Neurospora crassa OR74A: one gene and its partners. The protein of the gene in region 3 interacts with the protein of the main gene of each other region in a pairwise test. Links are inferred from orthologs where the notes say so. Each region holds a gene or a part of one and is shown on either strand. Other genes may lie near its edges.

The links. The genes of interacting proteins can lie anywhere in the genome.
Region 1: the proteins of mei-3 (region 3) and mus-25 interact in binary tests that used the Schizosaccharomyces pombe proteins (3 or more experiments, as listed by UniProt). The link is inferred for Neurospora crassa OR74A from reciprocal best matches to the Schizosaccharomyces pombe genes rad51 and rad54.
Region 2: the proteins of mei-3 (region 3) and NCU05778 interact in a two-hybrid assay, tested with the Schizosaccharomyces pombe proteins (2 studies listed by BioGRID). The link is inferred for Neurospora crassa OR74A from reciprocal best matches to the Schizosaccharomyces pombe genes rad51 and isu1.

What each region holds. Positions count from the first base shown.
Region 1 is NC_026507.1:2,823,247-2,827,471, forward strand, and holds the start of mus-25 (DNA repair and recombination protein RAD54), read right to left. Parts: upstream 2,878-4,225; 5' UTR 2,637-2,877; coding exon 2,635-2,636; intron 2,532-2,634; coding exon 26-2,531; 3' UTR 1-25. Other genes in the region: NCU02347 (Sec7 domain-containing protein), read right to left, coding at 3,463-4,225. UniProt on the Schizosaccharomyces pombe protein: Plays an essential role in homologous recombination (HR) which is a major pathway for repairing DNA double-strand breaks (DSBs), single-stranded DNA (ssDNA) gaps, and stalled or collapsed replication forks.
Region 2 is NC_026507.1:3,797,076-3,801,072, reverse strand, and holds NCU05778 (iron sulfur cluster assembly protein 1), read right to left. Parts: upstream 2,467-3,997; 5' UTR 2,237-2,466; coding exon 2,095-2,236; intron 1,997-2,094; coding exon 1,822-1,996; intron 1,365-1,821; coding exon 1,274-1,364; intron 1,193-1,273; coding exon 1,043-1,192; 3' UTR 578-1,042; downstream 1-577. Other genes in the region: NCU05779 (hypothetical protein), read right to left, coding at 1-333; NCU05777 (ubiquitin carboxyl-terminal hydrolase 14), read left to right, coding at 3,505-3,532, 3,652-3,719, 3,807-3,997. UniProt on the Schizosaccharomyces pombe protein: Scaffold protein for the de novo synthesis of iron-sulfur (Fe-S) clusters within mitochondria, which is required for maturation of both mitochondrial and cytoplasmic [2Fe-2S] and [4Fe-4S] proteins.
Region 3 is NC_026501.1:3,388,617-3,392,304, reverse strand, and holds mei-3 (MEI3), read right to left. Parts: upstream 2,190-3,688; 5' UTR 1,972-2,189; coding exon 1,876-1,971; intron 1,815-1,875; coding exon 1,667-1,814; intron 1,595-1,666; coding exon 777-1,594; 3' UTR 506-776; downstream 1-505. Other genes in the region: NCU02740 (hypothetical protein), read right to left, coding at 3,012-3,688. UniProt on the Schizosaccharomyces pombe protein: Required both for recombination and for the repair of DNA damage caused by X-rays. Binds to single and double-stranded DNA, in the presence of magnesium, and exhibits DNA-dependent ATPase activity.

The DNA of each region.
Region 1 (4,225 bases), on a different chromosome or scaffold from region 3:
GAAGAAGAAAGGACAAACCACCCACTCAATGAGAAATATACTGAAACACAGCACTAACATCCCTCTCCCCAACCTCCTGCCTCAACAAATGATCATGAATGCTCTTCATCCCTCCACTACCACCATTCGGGTCGCCGCCCTTTCCACTCTTACCCGCCGCGTCCTCGCCCTCCCAATGGTTAACAAAGTGATTCCAAGTACTAGTATCGCCATACAACATGGCCTGCGCCTTCATATACTGCCTCCCATCCGGTTTACACCGCTTACACTTGAACGTGTCATGGGTATCGCTCTTGGTCCCGGGTCTATAAGTGAACAGCTCGCGCAGCGAGTCCAGAGAAAAGTGTCTCTCCACATCCTCGGCGCTGTCGACGACGCACGACGACAGGGATTGCTTGTGGCTCTGCCGCTGGAAGATCTTTTCTTCAATGGTACCCGTGGCGATGAAGCGATAGACAAAACAGTCCTTCTTCTGGCCATCACGCCACACACGCGCCAGCGCCTGCTGATCCGCTGCTGGATTCCAGTCCGGGTCGAAGAGGACGAGCCGGTTGGCACCAATCAGGTTGAGGCCGCACCCACCGGCTTTGGAAGAGAGCAAAAAGACAAACTCGTCGCCTTCCGGGTCGTTGAACTTGTCGACAAGTTTTTGGCGTTTGTTGACGTTCATGGTACCGTCTAGTCGGAGACAACCGTATTGCCGGTTGCGGCAGAGACGCTCAAAGAGGTCAAGCGTTTGGGTGTAGTTGCTGATGAGCACAATCTTGTCATTGGTGTCGGCGCGGATGCGGGCGAGCATGCGGTCGAGCACTTGCATCTTTCCGGAGTACCATGGCTTGACGTCGCGGTCACGGCCACGCGCTTCCTTTGGTACGTAGTCTTCTGGCCAGTACTGCTCACAGCCAGGCAGATCGGCCGATAGGTCGAGCAGGTCTGGGTGGTTGCAGAGCTTCTTGAGGATGTTGATGGCCTTGAGAGGTTGAGAGCCCTTGCCGCGCAGGAGAGCTTGGATGTCGGGGGAGGCGACAAAGTAGTTATACAAGTCAAGCTGGAAGGGAGCGAGGTTGCAGAAGACAACGTGCTCGTACTTCACGGGGAGGTACTTGGAAAGAATGTCGTTGGTACGACGAATGATGAACTTGTTGACGATGGCAAGGAGTTCAACCAGGCACTCGTCACCACGCTTCCGCTCAGCTTCCGAGGCGTCAGCATCGCGGCCGCGTAGAATCGGAATCTCGAAGCGTTTGCGGAACTCGAGACGAGTACCGAGGAGATCCGGGTTGGCGAAGCTGATCAGAGCAAAGTACTCTGACAGGTCGTTCTGAATGGGTGTACCCGACAAGATGACCCTCCTCGAAACATTCAGGCTGTTCAAGGCACTGAACGTCTGACTGTCTCCGTTCTTCAGGCGGTGGCCCTCGTCGCAAAGCATCAACCCAATGGGAGTCCCCTTAAGCTCGTCCACATTAAGCCTTAGCGTCTCGTACGAGACAATAATCACCGGTCTCGTCACGGACCGTCCACTGGCAATCGCCCACTGCCGCAGCTGCCTCGTCAACTCCTCCTTCGAGGCCTTTCCATCAATGGCAAAGGGCGTGATAGCGTCCGCGCCCAACCATTTGACCAACTCATTCGCCCAATTCCTGACCAAACTTGATGGACACGCCACAATCGCCTTTTGGATCGTTGACTTTCCAGCATCCGGCGACTGCTTCAACAGCGTCCACAGTAGCGTGATGCACTGCAACGTCTTTCCCAAGCCCATCTCGTCTGCCATGATGCAACCATTCGCCTTCTCATCAATCATGCCCGTCACGCACCGGTACATGAACCGGACACCCTCGATCTGATGCGGCCGCAGCACCTTGGCCAGCCTGGGATCAATGACCACTGGGACACGAGGGTGCTCACCCTCGACTTTCTTCTTGATGCCCAGAATCTCCGCCAGACTCTTGTGCACCAGCGGCGCATCAACCTTGACCTCTGGTTCTTCCTTCTTTTCTTCAATGGCCTCTGGCGCCGTATCCTTGGGCTTATCATCCACTGTCGGATCATACAGCACAATAGCAAACTCGTCGCACGGGTCATGCAGCGGCTTAGCCACAAAGACGGCGCCCTGTCTCAGGCCGAGCGTGGGTGGGGGGCGGTTTGGGTTGTACGCGGTCGTGTTCTTGTTGATGAGCGGCACGGAGAACGCCTTGCGGAATACCTGCGACTTGTCTTTGACCGCGAACACGGGGAACTTGTTGGCGTCGCGGTTGGCGAGGGCGAGCCGGTCGGCGTTGGTGTAGGGCTTGTCGGCGCCATCCTCGTCGTCTTCGCCACCAGCACCTTTATAATCGATCTTTCTGCGCTTTCGTGCCGGCCGGTCGACGGCTACGGTGCGCGTCGCGGAGCCGGGGCATTTGAACGGCTTGGTGAGTTTGTCGAGGGATTGAGGTGTGGGGAACTTGCTGCGTTGAGTGAGAGCGAGACTGTTGGTGCTGTTGTCCTTGGAGGCGGCCTTGGGTGTTGAGACCATGGATGCTGACCTATCGAGATCCAGAGTGTTACTTAGTAGCCGGATGTTGAGAGTGGTGATGTTGGTGATCAATGGTAATAGGAATACATGGGGAGGTTACGGTGTCTGCTTACATCTTCGCTGTAAGGAACGGGCTTTGTTACAACGGCCTCGGTAGCTCCCTAGGAACAACGCTAGACCTGTTTCTCTATTTGGGAGTTTTTTTATTTCACGCCCGTCACTCAAAAGAACAACAACCGAAAAATCCGGAAGGCAAATGAGGGGGGAAGAAAAAAAAAACCACCGCAAAAAGACTGAGAAGCGGGCTCCAGGCAGGAAGATGGCGATTGGCGCCTGCTTACCTTAACAATGTTGACTAAACACAGACTGGACGCGAAGATCGGAAGGGTGGGGGGCGAATCGCGCCTTCCTCACACGGTATCACATGATCTTGGCTAGCTTTCCCTGTTAAGTAGTTACGTAGGTGACTACGCAGTACTATGCACAGTGTGTGGCCAATCCTAACCCTTGATTGTTCGTCTCCACTTTTGCATCATCCACAGTTTCGTCTGATTGGTCACTGTTTGTCACACCTAACAATGCCGTCGTCGTCGTTCTATGTTGAGGGCATTCGCAAATGCTCCTCAGTGAGACCTATGGTCCAGACCGACAAGTGCCAGGAAGGTATTAAATATGTATTCTCAAGTCGTAAGCACCCCAGAAAGTAACGATAGACAGAATTTGTCGTGCATGCATGCTCGCTTGCTCTATGCCATGGTATAACGTAAAGGAAGTGTGTGTGTGTGTGTGTTTGTGGTGTTTAGCGATAAAAGATCCCCGTCCCCATAAAGTCACGCTTGTCATCTTCGCCAAAATCTACCTTGAACGCCTTTGGCCCCTCTTTCTCTTTCTTTCCCAAGCTCTTCACGACATACCATATCATCCATCCATTATGTTGTCCCTTAGCCCTTGACCTCCCTTTCCAGCGACGCATCCATGACCTCACCAGGTGAAGGTTCGCCTTCTCCATCACTGTCAACCACATCCTCACCCCTTGCCGCGCGTCTCGCGTTCTCCCTTTCACGGTAAATCTCCGACCTCCTGATATCTGCCTCGCGCAGGCTGTCTACATACGTCCTGTACTTCACAATCTCGTTGAGGAGATGCTGGCTCTTCTTCTCCCAGTTGGTCATCGCCTTGGCCGCGTTCACTGATCGAGGCGAGAATGCCAGAAGCATAGGACTCCTGAGCGAATTATGCTTTTGGAAATCTTCTTCAAGACTCCTGACGTAGGCGATGAGATGCCCAAACTGTTCACGCTCCGAAAGGGTGCTGGGCCGGAGGGACTGCGAGGGCGGTGTCCACTCGGCAATGTGAATCTTATCGCCTGGTAGCTTCGAGGACGATGATGCGTGGTTGGGACGGGGGAGTGCGCCGGGGCCGCTGAATGTGACACCGAGGGCGCCGCTGCTGGCCGAGCTTCCCGGCCGACCAAAGTCGAAAGAAGAGCTTCTAACACTGCGTCGACTATGGAGCGAGGCACGGCTGCCAGAGATCGTGCTGGAAACCGCCATCGCTGCCATTGCCGATGCCGCGTTTGCTGCGCTGCCAGGGCGTGAATGGCCCTTGTAGTTGCTGCTGACGCTGTTGCTAGCAGGACGCCCGGTAGTTCCACCGCCGCCGCCGCCGCCGCCACCTGTGTTGTTCAGGTCGCCATTACTTTGG
Region 2 (3,997 bases), on a different chromosome or scaffold from region 3:
GGAATCTTTTCGTTTCCGTTTTTTGTCGTCATCGTCCTCCTTTTCATCTCTACCTTCTTCCCCATCCTCCCCGTTATCGTTCCCTTCCCTCGACTCTCGCTCCCTCCTCAAACCCGCCTTCTGATCAACTTTAGACCACGCCTTAGTTAGGGCAGTATAGCTCGCAAATAACTTGTCGATGACAATGTCGACCGCGTTGAGCTCTCTTCTCAGCTCTTTGATTTTGGACTGGGACGAGCGAAGGGTGGACTCAATGTCGAGCTGGTTGTCTGCCACGTCGCTTGAGAGCTGAGAGCCAAGGGCGGAGAGGTCGGATTCGGGGTCCGTTTCCATGGCTTTTGTGGGAAGGGCGGGTACGTGCTGGTTGATGTGAATTATCGGAGTTGTAAAGGTTAGTGTGAATTATCGGAGTTGTAAAGTGATCTGTGCTGAAGAAGGACCGGGGAGAGAAGAGGCAGGCTGTCGAATGTGGTTGAGAAGTGCCTTATATCGTTAAGGAACGATGAACTGGGTGAGCTAATAGCCGATGGAAGCTTCGATCAAACTAAAAGGAAACAATGACTACAACTGTTTCAAGCACATGATAATCAGTCGTATGGGTGCATTATATGTTGACATTATACCATTCGCATAAGTCATCGTAATAAACATACAAATGGGGACAATGAGGTTGCGGCATAACAGGATAAAAGGTTTAGAAAGGAGAATGAGCTTGCTTTTCTGTTATAACAACGCAGCCAGCAACAACCCAGCCCAAAAAAGTGGTTGTGGTGTTGGACAAACAACAACAACGACAACAAGAAAGAAGAACTACCCACCAAATCAATCCAAAACTCCGAAAGACTCCGCTAATGGATGATATGATAATCCCTTCAAGAACCCCCGCCATGAGAAACAAGAGACAACAAACCCCACGACGCATGCATGGCCGACCTTTTCAAGGTTTGCGGCTCTTTGTGCAAAATCCACTTTTAGCTTTCTCCAACATACAAGCCCCATTAAGATCCTCCCAAGCTGGCTGGCTAATCAGTAGATGACCGGTTTAGGCGGCCTGGGCAGTCTCGAACTTGGCGCCGGTGCCAGCGAGGTTGGTGGGCATGGCGTGGGGGTTCTTGGTGCGGTAGTCCTTGATGGCGGCCTTGATGGCATCCTCAGCAAGCATGCTGCAGTGCAACTTGACAGGGGGGAGGCACTGTGGGTGTTGGGTAACACGGTTAGTTCATAGTGCACGAGAGGCATAGGAGCATGGTACGGAGAACAGGTCTAGACTTACGAGTTCCTTGGCAATCTCGGTGTTCTTAACCTTGGAGGCTTGCTCGAGGGTCATACCGCGGACGAGCTCGGTGACGTAGCTGGAAGAGGCACTGAAGGGAGTTAGTAAGCTGAGCTCAGAACGTTATGGTAACACTAAAGCCTTGGGAAGCCAATGATCAAGCTATCGTCGTTTTTTAGGAATCGTAGGTAGTGAATCCGAGTAGTTCTCGATATCGTTCTCCGTTTGTCGAAGGCGTTGGAAAGGCATGGGGAGGTTATCGCTTATTCGCGCGCACACCCAAGCAGCACTGAAACCTGGGGTGTAACGGCCTGGAGGTTTCAACTTTCAGGTGTCGCATTTCTCTGCTCATCCTCCCTGCTTATGCTGAACCGAGGTGTTGTAGTTGCAACTATACGTCGATGAAACTAGTTTGTCGTCGCTCGCGTTTCATTTGATCGTTGTGTGGTATCAATTTCGTATCGCCCGTGGCTTCGGTCACTTTTTCTTGGCCCCCATGGCTTCCCGAGGCATCCGTGTCTATCAGTGACGAAAGAGACAATACTCACATGGCAGAGCCGCAGCCGAAGGTCTTGAACTTGACGTCGCTGATGACTCCAGTCTCGGGGTCGACCTTGATGTGAAGGCGCATGACATCACCGCAGGCGGGGGCGCCGACGAGACCTTCGCCGACCGACTTGTCCTTCTTGTCGAGGGTACCGACGTTGCGAGGGCGCGAGTAGTCTGATATTGAGACATGTTAGCATCTGTACATGTTTGCCGATATGCCATATCCAAGGTGGAATAGGGCGCGAATGCGTGGCCGCGATGGGAATACTCACGGTCAAGGACCTTCTCGTGGTAGGACCTCTTGGCGACGACGGCAACGGCGGGCGCAATCTGGCGCGCAGCCGGCATGACGGTAGGGCGGACGGCGTTGGCGAGAACGCGGCCGGAAACAGCGCGAACGGATCTGGAAAACATGGTTGCGGATGTGTTGATTGTGATGTTTTTGTTTTGTTTCGTTTCGTTTTGTCTTGGGTTGTTTTGTTGTTTCTGTAGGATAGGTATCGGTGATGCAAGAGACGAGTTCTGGTGATGAGTGGATGGCGAAAAGTCAAAGAGGCCGAGATAAAGAGGTTGGCGGCGGACGGGACTTGGGGATTAAAAGTTGCTGGAATTTGCGGATTTGGCTGCGGATTTGCGGGCTTGCGGCACTTGGTCGCCAAAAAGTCGATGATGACCCAAGGGGGCGACTTGCTGCACTCGGGACTGGGATACGAAAAAGAGGGGTTGGTCAGAGCTCTCCTAACAAAAGCGGAGCACAATCACCAACCAAAACAGCCAGGCTTCTGTTAGGCCAGTGACAAGACGCGCTGCTACGGACATGGGGGGCGTCATCCCCGACGTCGGCTTGGTCGGTTGGACAAAAGAGAGCCAAGACAGTTCTGAGCTCCACTTGCCGCGGAGATAAGATGATCAGATTACGGAACACCGAATGTACCTACGTCTCGCGATTCGGTCGTCGTTGACTTGGAATTCTGGACGATCACTCGCTTCCCTTGGACTTTTTTTTTCCAGCCGACGACAGATGAAAATGCTAAGCACGGGCTTCTACACTATAATGGTACTTAGTCAGGTCCTTGTTCTCTTTTCTTACCTCGTCGAATGGGCATTTCTGTCGCCGTCAAACGTACCTCCCGTCCAAAACTCTGCCTCTTGATTGCAAACTGGAAAATGACACTTTCTTAACAAACCGTATCTGCATTGTCACTGTGTAACGTGCCACAATGTTAAGAAATGCATAACAGATCGTCCACCACCGATACCTAAGCAAGCGCCAATCCCTGCTCCATTGTCCCCAGACTGCAGCACATCATCCCTGTCCGCTGTCACAATCCATGAAACGGCAGCGGGGTTCGAACAAATGGAAGGCGGCAGGGCGAATGCCATGAAGCGCGGTTGCCTGGAACATGGGGATTGGGGAGTGGTTGCTGTCCAGTGCCTGCCGCGTCAGCTAAAGTTACCCCACAACATCATACCTCAGCTCAGCTCACTGCCTGCAGCTACGGCAAGCTTCCATTTTCCTTCACGCTTCTTCCATCTTCTCTTCCTCTGCAATACAACTTCACTTGGCGGTAGACTTCATCCAACAATTCGATGACTTTCTAGTTGTACACAACTACACACCAAGAATACAGACAACATAGCTTGGTTGATTTCATTCATACATCATCGCGAATCCGCCCAACATGTCGTGCCCCCACATCGGGTCCGCAAGTAAGTCTTGCTTATTCCATGTTTGCATGCTCTTTGGAGCTCAGCTCAGCTTCCATCATGTGTGGTGCGCCTCTAACTCAGGACTGGACAACGTATTTCTGACACACCGATTCTAACAGACCTCGCGAAGCCGTCGCCTACCGACAATGTCTACCGCGAGGATTGTACCCAATGCTTCGATTCCATTGTCCGTACTCTATCCTGGCCTTTCCTCTCTTCTTCTAGCCCCATCTACCATGTCCAGCCTAGCAACTAACCGCCTCGCTGTAAATAGGACGACCCAGCTGGTCTGGATGTCTGCTTAAAGTGCTTTAACGGAGGCTGCGCTGGCGACCGGAATCACGCAAAGCTCCATGCCACCTCGCGAAACCACCCGCTCGTCCTCAACATTCGCCGAACCCGCAAGATCATCGAGCGCAATGAGCCGCCTCTCAAGATGTCCAAGCTCGCCATCGCGGCCGAGAC
Region 3 (3,688 bases):
AGAATTTCTGGCCGCCCACTGCAGCAGAAGTTCAACTGTTCAAGTTCCCAAGCACAGCGCAACGCTGCAAGCGTCGGTAGCAGTTGCAGCGGGTCAGTCAATCGCTGGCGTGGTTGGTGGGGAAACTCGGTGCTAAGCCCAAGTATCCCGCGCTAGTGAGAGACTATGCGAATAGGACACACTGCAAGGTGGTACGTCACATCAAGAAGGAAGCAATAGCCTTTGAAATCCGCGATTTTATTAACAACGCTAGATGGATGATAGCCCTTAATCTGTAACTTCAAGTCACAGAGCGTACCTTTTGTCCTGACACATTCCCTCGAAGATTATGTGGTGCATGGCCTGTTGCATCACGAGTATGGACGACAGCAACTTGGATTTCAATGAAATTTCCTTCACGTTAACGAGAGCTTCAGCTTCGGTGGTGAGGTCTTTGGATGATCAAACCTGTGACACTTGCCCTCAGCATCGAGACGCTGCTTCTGCACAGGTCAAATGATCAGTTGGCGAGATGACTTTGACGGCTTCACTTCGTCGATTGTATTAGAAAAAAAAAACAGTGTACCGTAGTTATTGATAACTCTACCAACTCCCAAGTTTTACCAGTCATACCAGACAAGTGTGACGCCAGGCTGCCCTCCCATGCTAACAATAAAAACGCGCTATGCCCATCAAAAACACACATTATCCTTATACCGTCAAATCAGCAGCCCCTTGCGTCCCTAGATTGTTGTATGAATTTCGTGTTGATTTGCTGTCGCCATCCCCACTGCAAACTACTGATTCATCTTCTCCATATCCTTCGGGCTAGGATCACCAATGCCGTCCTCGTTGATGGCAAACAAGCAGTCGCTCTCTGGTAAACATGGGCTGTCGTAGATCTTTGCGATTCTGGTCTCTCCGCGACCCTTCTTCAGGCTGATGCGAGTAGTACTGGCGTGCGCAATGATGTTGCCACCAATTGGTTTTTTGGGGTCTGGATTAAACATGGCAGACGGACCACCATCAACCTGCGCCACGACCTGATTGGTGATCACCACCGCAATACCAAACTCGTCGGCAAGGCGCTGGAGTGTGCGCATAAACTTTGCGAGATGGGTTTGGCGGGAACTGAGTTCGCCACGACCCAAGAAGTCCGTTCTGTAGAGCGAGGTCGCGGAGTCGACAATCAACAGACTGAAGCGGGTCTCGCACATCATGGCTGCGGCCTGGTTCAAGAGCTGCAGCTGATGGTCCGAATTGTAGGCTCTTGCGTACGCAACGTTGTCAAGAACTTCTTCGCCTGAGAGACCGTATCGGTTGGCCACTGCTAGGAGACGCACAGGCCGGAAGGTACCTTCAGTGTCGATGTAGAGACATTTTCCCTCACCACCCCCCATGTCAAATGGGAGCTGGCATGTTACCGCAAGAGTATGGCAGATCTGCGACTTTCCTGTTCTGAACTCTCCAAAGATTTCGGTGACACTGCCGGTCTCGATACCACCAGCCAATAGTGTATCCAGATTTTTGGAGCCTGTCGTGATGGAAATCAGTTCGCTGCGGCGCTGGTGCATCTCCGTCGCAGTAGTAAAACCCATAGGCACAAGTTTAGAGGCTTGATGATAGTGTCAGTAATCATGCACTCCCAAAATGGAACCTCTAGGAATGTCAAATGCTGGCTACTGACCTTCTGCCAGGATTTTCCCTGCCTTTTGCTCCGAAATACCTTTGATCTGCTCCAGTACCCTCCGGGGGGTATAGGCAACAGATTCAACGGTGTTGAAGCCTCCATCAACAATCAGCTGAATGTCTCGCTTGGTAAGTCCGGCAACACCCTAGGCAAGTCAGTTGGTTGTTTGCAATCCGGATGGATCCATCAAAGAAAGTGATCCGTACCTCTAGAGCAGAAAGTGGTGTTGGGGCGCCTGGGTTTGGTATCCCGCTGTCGTCCTCCATGTTGGCAGACTCATCGTACTCCTCGTTGTTCGACATCGTGCTATTTGTTGTGCTCTTCGGTGCAACAATTTCGGGGTTTCTTTACGTTTAGTGATGGTATGTATGACCAGCAGCGAGCGAAAACGTCTTGGATATGGCCACAGAAAAGCAAGACAGAAAGGCGCAAGAAGAAAAAAAAGCGAGCGGGACTGGAGCCAAGGATACGCAAATGTTGACAGAGGCGAAAACAGCAGGCAAGAGCGCGACCCGCGTCCTACAAATTGGGGAAGTGCGACACGTTAACATGTGACCTGGATGACCAATCCAGCCCAGCATGCGGGATACTAATAAGGTACCTACTAGACACCATTGGCCCCGCCGGATGCCTAGATTCAGTGGAGCCCAGACGGGAATGACGGAGGCGACAGGATGGTTCCCCTGTGGGGTCCGCTACAACGAACCGAACGGTCACCCCTGGGGGTTTGTCACTTCATGCCAATTCCGTACACCACAAACACTATGGTACTCCCCGTCAACATTGTCACAGGCGTCTTCGTATTTACGGCGTACACCGATACAGAGATACAGTTTTCATGCTATTTTATTCCTACTGCCCTCTGTCCGAGAACACCCTATCCAAAGAGGAGACAACAACTCTTGCTCATTAGGTTCTCGACGCGGCCGCCTCTTCCGAGTTTTTGCCACCTCGGTTTCTAGGACCAAGTATCACAGTCATTTAACGACGTCTGCCGCCTGTGTCCCATTTGAACAAATCTCAGGGAACACCCACAAAAGAAAACCGCAAGAATGGCCCAACAATGCAACTTTTGGAGAGGCCGATGTATGCTCCTCACTCACTACCTCCATCCATACCCAGACACACGACTACCCTGGCTAATTACCTCACCATCTTCCCTCCCCCCCCTTGCGGACTGTTAAGATGCGTCATGGTTTATCCTGGGCTCTATACCCGGTGTTCCAAGCCTTCCCACAGGTAGGATGTCAAAACCCGTCATCGACTCTCCGAGCAGCAGATCTGTTGTTAGGTGTAAAATGCAAATTCCTAGGCCCCAAGGTCGGCTCAGGGGCAGTGATTATCATGGGCTTCGTATCCTCCTGCTGTGCTGCTGATATATCACCTGCAAGGAGGGAGTGCCAAAGGGATCACCGACGGCGACATCTCTTCTTTCAGCTCCTCTTGGCTCATACAGTCTTTCCCCTCCTTCGCCGCCGCTGGATGAGTTATAGGATCTTCCACTGTCGCTTCTCGGTAACCGCTGATGGGCAGAATCAGCGTAGGAGTCGCCTGATTTAGAATCAGTGATTTGCTGGTCTCGCCTGGTAGGACCACCAATGTGCCCATCCCGGGCCTCTTGTTGTCGTTGGGAGTTTCTGGTCGGCACATAGATGTCATGGACTGCTGGTCTTTGTGGCGGCTGTGCTCCTCCGTCTTGGCCTTCGAGTCTGCGGAGGGTATCTTCGTTCAAAGCATGGGGAACCCGCAAGCCGTGGCGACGAGGGTAATCATGCCTCTGGTCTCGTGGGATGGGTGGGGGGATTGCCCCTGATGAGGCACTCTCCAACGACTCGGAATCCGTCAGTCCTTGCAAGAGTGAGCCGTCGGGGGTGACAGGGCTTCTTGCCGTTGCCGTGACACCTGCCGCCCCCTTTATCTTCTCCCTCCTCTGCTGCTCCGCGCCCAGATACACCAGCGTCACCGCCGAGGTAGGTTTTGTTTCGGTGGGAGTCGCCGGTCTCGAAATCCAAATGCCGT